Linked DNA regions of Drosophila melanogaster. The protein of the gene in region 2 interacts with the protein of the main gene of each other region in a pairwise test. Each region holds a gene or a part of one and is shown on either strand. Other genes may lie near its edges.

Evidence for each region. Proteins that work in one complex are often made in the same cells at the same time.
Region 1: the proteins of Rbp9 (region 2) and CG12692 interact in a two-hybrid assay, tested with the Drosophila melanogaster proteins (one large-scale study listed by BioGRID).

What each region holds. Positions count from the first base shown.
Region 1 is NC_004354.4:4,300,272-4,304,027, reverse strand, and holds the start of CG12692 (uncharacterized protein), read left to right. Parts: upstream 1-1,681; 5' UTR 1,682-1,763; intron 1,764-1,946; 5' UTR 1,947-1,951; coding exon 1,952-2,227; intron 2,228-2,328; coding exon 2,329-3,714; 3' UTR 3,715-3,756.
Region 2 is NT_033779.5:2,952,651-2,956,406, reverse strand, and holds the start of Rbp9 (RNA-binding protein 9), read right to left. Parts: upstream 1,646-3,756; 5' UTR 1,094-1,645; intron 1,028-1,093; 5' UTR 900-1,027; intron 1-899.

The sequences.
Region 1 (3,756 bases), on a different chromosome or scaffold from region 2:
CCAAAGTGCCAGGCAGGTACAGGTCTCCTGCCTAAAATTATGCAATGCCCGGGCTTTAAAGTAGATTACACGAAATTTGCACACGAAGGCACAGAAGCCCACGACGGGCATTAATCACGAAAGAAACTCCTGCCCCGTGACCAGTGTGCCCCATTCTCGAAATCCTCGAAATCCTCCTATTGTGTGTGTTTTTTAAATAGTTGGACCACGCCCACTGGCGGATGAGGGGGTGGGGGGGTGGGGCATTGGGGTTAAAAGGGGGTTAGAGGAGCTGGAGGCAACAGCAGCAAATAAATTGCCAACGTGCCGGAATGCAACGAAAACCCTTTGGGTTTGTTAGATTTTTCCATATTGCTTCCTTTGGCTCCAGCAGTTCCATTAGACTCCTGAAACTGGTTATGCAATCCGCTCTCCCACGAGCAAAGAAAATAATAGAACAACAGCACACACACACACACACACACACACAAAGCCGGAAAATTAGCATAATTTTTCAATTGTCCTTTGGGCACGTGGCGCAGGCCTTAAATATTTTACTTTGCGCACTATTTTCAAGAATATTTCATCGAACTCGTACAATGAGCTTTTGCCAAAAAATAATTATTTTTTCCCATTAACAGCATACCATATCGCATTTCTTGCCGTCGTCCTTAATATTTCCTGTGCTTCAGATATTTTTTTTTTTATTTATATATATATTTTTTTTATGTCCGCCCCACAAGCCCGATTTTTCCGTGTGCCCACGGCGTTTTTCGCTTTTCCCACTCGCCAAATATTTTTCTTGAGCTCAAAGTGAAATGGCATAAATCATGTTCAATATTATTTCGCTTTTTACCCGCTCCGTTTTCGTTATCCGGTTCGTATTGCGGTGGCCCTCGGGTTAAATGATTTCATTTTGCGGCGAGATGACAACCCTGGCCGGAGCTGAAAAGCAGCACTTGTTGCCCTGTTGATTTGATTTTATTGCCCAGCAAGAAAAGTATTGAATGCGAACAAAATGGGTAAGGTGGAAAGGTGGCCGACGTCGCGGCGAGATCAGGTTAGGCAAACATCCTTTTGGCAAAAGTGGGCGGTAAATGTCCTGGCCTGGCAAGAAAATTGCTTTTGCGGTCGGTTCTCGAGGCTTCGCTCGTAATTACCAAAAATGCCGCAGGGCAACTCCCGGCTTCCTTCTTCCTGTTCCTGGCACTTGGCACTTGGCACTTGGCATTACCAAATTACCAAATTACCAAATAGCTGGCATCTAAGTAATACAACTAATTTGTGTTAAAATTCCATTAGCTGGCCGAGAAATATGCTCAGCAGGAGTGATTGGCTTTCGGGCGGGCATGGAATGGCCAAAATCAATCACCGAATCCCATCACGCACAGTGATGATTAGTCGAAAAATTTAGCTAGCCCTGCGGCAACCCTGCTAATCCTGCGACGTTAAATCGATTTGGAGAATGAGGAGAATGAAATGTCCACATCAGCGATTTTGCATATTTGTTGCAAGGATCGCGTACTAAACAATCTCTATACCCGATTTAGTATTTATTTTATTTATTTTTTGTTTATAAATAATTAAATCCGAACATTGTTAGCCAAACCCAGGCATGCCATGCTTTTAATGTCAGTTTTTGGATGACAGTCGGTTTTTGGTGATCGGACATTGTTTCAGTCAGTTTGCACAACCAGACTGAGAAGAACACTACTTTTAAAATTGTGTAGAATTCTTACAAGTTTTGTATATATATATATTTTACTGCACTCGTTTGTGAAACGGTAAGTGAAATGGCGTGCATAATCGAATTCCGCAATGCCTCGCGGCGTGTGCTTTTCAAAACCGGATATTAATTGTGCGCACTCTTAAGAAAATAATTGGAAATGAAATTTTGTGCGTTCTACGCGTTAATAATTTACTTCTTTTATTTTGTGTTTTTATTTTTTTTTCGATTGCCGCTAAAGAAAATATGGGGCACATCGATGGCACAAATAAACTGAAAGGCTTCGCTCGTCCCGCATTCACCAGCGAACTGGCCTTCAATAGCGTGGTGCCATGGAGCAATGAGATCCATCGACGCCACGGTGAGGCCATCCATCCGTGCAACGATGCGATGGACTTCCATGCGTCGGTGTTTAGAAGTCTGGGTGCCGTGACGCGTGTGTGCATTGGCACATCAACATTTTGGTGTACTTCGTCACTTTTGCAATTTCATAGCAACTATTTTGATCGCAACATTTGTCCGGTAAATAAGAGAACACATTTCATCGATATCGTTTATCGATGATATTGTTAATTGCGCGATTTGTATATGTCGATAACTTAGCACTGTACTCTGTACCTTAGGTGAATTGCTTTCGCGAGGGCACCGACCTTATTGCCGTGGGCTTTCGAGCTGCCTACACTTGGATGAGACTGCAGGAGCCACTGGATCCATTCATGCAACCAGATAAACTAATGACGCTCCTGCACACAGCCGTCCAGCTGGAGATGCCGGCACTGAAAGCATTGTGCTATGAACAACTGTGCACCGATCGCTTTCGCGAGGAGACCGCCTTTCAGGTTTACTTGAGGGCTTTGAAATATCCGCAACTCGAGGAGCTGCGCAAACTGATGCTGCAAAGGATCGGTGCTGCTTTTCTGGCCGTGCTGGGTGGTGATGATTTTCAGCGAATGCCTCTCGAGGATGTGATTACCATGCTGCAGCAGGACTCATTGGGTGTCAATTCGGAAATGGAGGTGCTTGTGGCCATTATAAGATGGCTGAATTGTCAATCGAAATGCATTGACCAGGCGACGCCACTATTGATGGACTGCCTTCGGCTGACACTCTTACCACTGCCAATTTTGAAAAGATTTTGGCGCTGTGCCATGGCACCACCGGTGCCCGACGAGCCCTTTATGAACGCTGTTCGTGGCAATATTCACATTCGTGAGAGGATCAGCTGTGCAATTACTGTGGTCCAAATGCACCATTTGCATACAAGTCGTCGTGAGTTTCTCGACTTCTGTCGCTCCAAGGGCTTGCTGGTCGATATGCCCAGGGAGTGGATATACGATGAGCAGTGCCATTATCATTTGCCGCGACCTGGTGGTCCCTACTCTCATCTTATCTGTGTTCATGTCATTTCGAATTATGCGATACAAAGGGCTCAGCGTCTAATGGAATCCTCAAAGCGTTGGCCCAGACGTGTTAATACATACATGCCGCCGTCCGATGATCTACAGACCATCAATGAGCTGCCCGAGGACAAGGATGAGGAGGCGCAGGTGTCAGTAGAGCCATCAGCGCCAGAAATGTCCGAAGGTCTACCGCAGCCCGAAGAGGATGATTGTTTCATTGCTCGCCTCTTTCGTGGCACACTATTGCGACTGAACGAAGTGATGGCCGCGCAGGACAGAAATATTGAGCGACGCATTGACAATCTTATACGTGATGGTACATTAAGGCCCAGGTTTATACCCAACGCTATGTCGAGATTTGTATTGCCAACAGCAATGACTTGTGCTGCACAGGAAGATCTTCAAGAAGATCTCTTTCTCCAAACCGATTTCTATTCGAGCAACCTGGACGCCATCGATGCGTATTTTTTTCTTCATGTCTGTCGAATGAGGCAGTTGGTCCAGCCGAAAGTTGTAGTTCCTATCGAGAAATCGTCCGAGGAGAGTGTGCGTCCCATGGAGAGCTATGTGCTCGAAACCGACCAAATGATCAAAGTCCTAGGCTTTTAAATGTATATGAACATATATATATATATTTCGCATATGAGAAAC
Region 2 (3,756 bases):
GGCACAGTTGCACCATTGTACCATGCGAGAAGTAACGGTCGCGAAGAAGAAGGCAAATAATAAAAAGCTGCAGCCGCAAGTTGCGCAGCCTGCAACAGCTCCGGCAACATAACGGTACTCGTTCGCTCGCTCTCTCTTTCTCCTGGCTCGGCACTTAACCGATGTACCCTACATTTGGCTTCGCAAAACATAAACAAGGAAATGCAGCCGTGAACACGAAACGAATTGCGGTAGGTTCTCCGTTCGGCAAAGAGCGAGCTCCAAAAGAGGCGAAGAGAGCCGGGGCTCGTAAGCCGGCCGCATTGCTGTTGTTGGAGCTGAGAGAGCCAGCACGGCACCCAAACAAACACTTAAGCAACAACAACAACGGCTGCTGACTGAAGGGAAGGTGCCAGAGGGGCTTTAAACCCAAGAGCGCAAGCTAGAAAGAGCATCAGAGAGAGAGAGAGCAAGGCAGGAGCGTAGGACGAGCTCAACTTGACATCATCATCATTTGTGTCAAAAGACCATTGAACTTTGCGAGCGGATGGAACAGAACAGCTCCACCCCCATCCCGCTGCCTACAAGTATGCAACAATACCTCGCTCTCCTTATTTATATGCGGTTTGTTTTGTTGCTGCTTGCACACCATCACAATAACAGCAACCCACATGCATGCACTCACTTTGCATAGGTGTTGGGGCCCAATGCATCTCAAAATGTTGCGCTTTTAACCCTTACCTAACTGATCAGACATGTAAGGCCCTTTCATGAAAATGTCCTGTGTTTGGGAAATCGGGAAAATCCCCACGATGTAGTTATAAATGACATACTATAGATTTGTGTACAATAAGTGGCTGTGTTAAATCTTCTTTAGCGAATAGGTTTTTATGTAATTCATTCTTGTTGCCTTACCTTACTTGTGATGGATAATGGTCGTGTTCCATTGATGTTCAATAATATAACGCCCATTGCAGGATTCCTGAATAGGGTTCAGATATGGGTTCCTGGCACTACGGCCTTGAGCTGAAGATGAATGTTCTTGCCTCTGCGGATGTGCATATAAAATTCGGTTAATTTAATTATTTAAATGAATAATTGATTTTCAGCTTACTGGTGCTTCCCACTGCGACTGATTCTGACGTGAGCCGCCAGAGTTCCAGCTTTGGTTGTCATAAAAGCCCCTAGATTGGTTGGGATAAAGCCAAGATAGCGGTGGTTGTGGTAGATCCCCTTTATTGGGCTTCCTGTTGTTGTTCCACGCTAAGGAAGGCTGCTTGATCTTGTTGCCGTGCTTCTCCTCGATGTTCGGGGACACATTCTCGCATTTAACTTGAACCTTGTACCACGAGGCGTCTGTATGCTTACGTTTGATGGTCATATCCTCCTCGCTGGTGGAGTCATACACGTGGCCCTTGATGGGTCTCTTTCTCTGACAATTGTTGACTTTCTCTGGCTCTGGTCCTCCTGTTAATACCCCTGGAATTTGCGGATGTGCCTTACGTCGTTGGCGCTGATATTGCCTTCTCTTGTTGCGAGTGTACCTGGGGATCTCACCCACAAAATCGCTTTGATTTTGCATTCCTTATGATGAAGTTGTAAACGATGAATTCGAAGAATCGACACCACGCTGTCGAAAGCACAGCAAGTAACACGTTGAGTTGCTAACACTGACAGACTACTTTGGCGACTTACCAGCACTGATCGATTAATCATGCAAAAAGTTTTTCTCGTATTGATCGAAACTTCCTTTCGTCATGAGCATTATCAAGATAAGAAATCGTTTTAATTGCATTCGGCTTCAAGTGTTCCCCTAAGGAACAGGAGTTAAGAATTTCCAGCTTTTGTTTGAAACAGATGGACATGAATTTATAACCTTGCCTGGTCACACTGAATTTTTAAAGCATCTCCTTCCGTTATTACAACCATCCATAGTGTTAAAAAAAAGCAAGACACAAAAGGCAGTTATGTAAATGTTACAATTTTTGATGTTTTATTCGTTCGATTTATCAACTACTGTTACGGTAATTGCATATTAAATTGGTTGTTGTTCTGTTGTTGCTTAAACTTTAATAAGTGTACTTGGTTTTAGCTGCGGCTGAATTTAATTATATTTGTACAAAATATATATTTACTTTTAGCTTTGTCAATGAACAACATGTTTTGCATTCATTTTGGTTTTCTACTCGCTTTCCACGTTCCAAAGTCCAGCTTAAAACTTAATTCTGTTGGTTTTGCTGTTCGATCTGTCGGTTCGGTTTTGTTTTTGTTTTTGTTTGGTTTTCTTTTGTTTCGTTTCACTACAATAACGCTTAACAAAATAGAATTATTAACTATTACTAGGCGCGTTTCGTTTGTTTTTGTTGTTGTTGTGGTTGTTGTTGTTGTTCTTGTCGGTTGCTTATTGCTGCACGTTAATCTTGTCACTTCGAAAAAATTTAACTATGATTTCTACGTTGTTTAGTTTAATTCATCGTGTATATATATAAAAATATATATATATTATATATCTTTATATATACCAATATATAGTTATTTATAGTTAGGCATGTAATTATGCTTACTTTAATTATATGCATGTTTGTGTCCGTGTCTTCCCGCCTACGTAATTGTATTATTTACATCGTTTTAATAATTAACAATACATATGTATGCATGTGTACCAATTTATAATAATTACACTTATGTAGTTGCACTGCACAATAAAGTTGCGCAAATTCTCCATCGGCATTCGGCACTCGTCATTTTAGTGATAACTTAAAATTTGTCTACAATTTAAATGTTTGTTTTCGGTTTCATTTGTCGAATGCGAGCGAATGCCTTGTTTCCCCAGAACCATTACTAATATTAATTTAATATTCTTTCTTACTTTGTTTTGCTTTCCGTTTTGTTTTTCGTTACATTTTTGCTTTGATTTTCGTAGTTTCGATTTCGTACATGCCAAAATAAAAGTCAACAAGAAAATGCTGGCTGCTCAACTCGGTCAATATATGAATGTATTCCAGAATCCTACCATCCTACCATCGTACCATCCTATCCCAATCCCCACTCATTTTCAAATTCTGCTGATTGAAGTTGGCTTAAAGTAGTTTACAGCGCTCACTTTTTGGCATTTAAAAATATATTTCTTGTATACTGGCGGCTATATGTACAGCTTATATAACTATTTCGAGGGCAAGTCTATTTCGATTGATTTTTAACTCGTTTAAGTCTACTAATGCACTATTAGTTGTTGCGTCTGTGTGAGAGTTTTGAGGCACCCATTATGAATTTATGAATTATGTTGGGAATAGACTGTGGATGAGGTGGTTTTATGGATGGGTTGAAAGAAATAAAACCAAAAGAGAAATACAATTGCGTGTATATATTTGAAATATATATTAATATAAATATATATTGTTTTCATTCATGTATTTTGTTCTAAAAACGTGTTGTGATTGCTTTTTAAAAATTAATTTAAAATTAATAAAATAGTTGCGTTAAACATAATTCATATAGAAATATTATAAAGAATTTATAACTATAACTTTTCTTTATATATGCCATAATATGTATAATTATATTTGCTAACATTTTTCTTTACCAAGGCTGCAAAGTAAAATTAACTAAAACTTAAACAATTTAAAAAGCCGTTCATCTTCCTTACTGTACGCATACGAAAACAAAATTCAACTAAAATGTTTATGTTTTTGGGTAACAGGAAAAGGGGGTAGGGTGGGCGGGGGGGGGGGGGGGTGGGCTGGTTGGGTTTTCGTTTTTGAGCTTACAGACTAGACG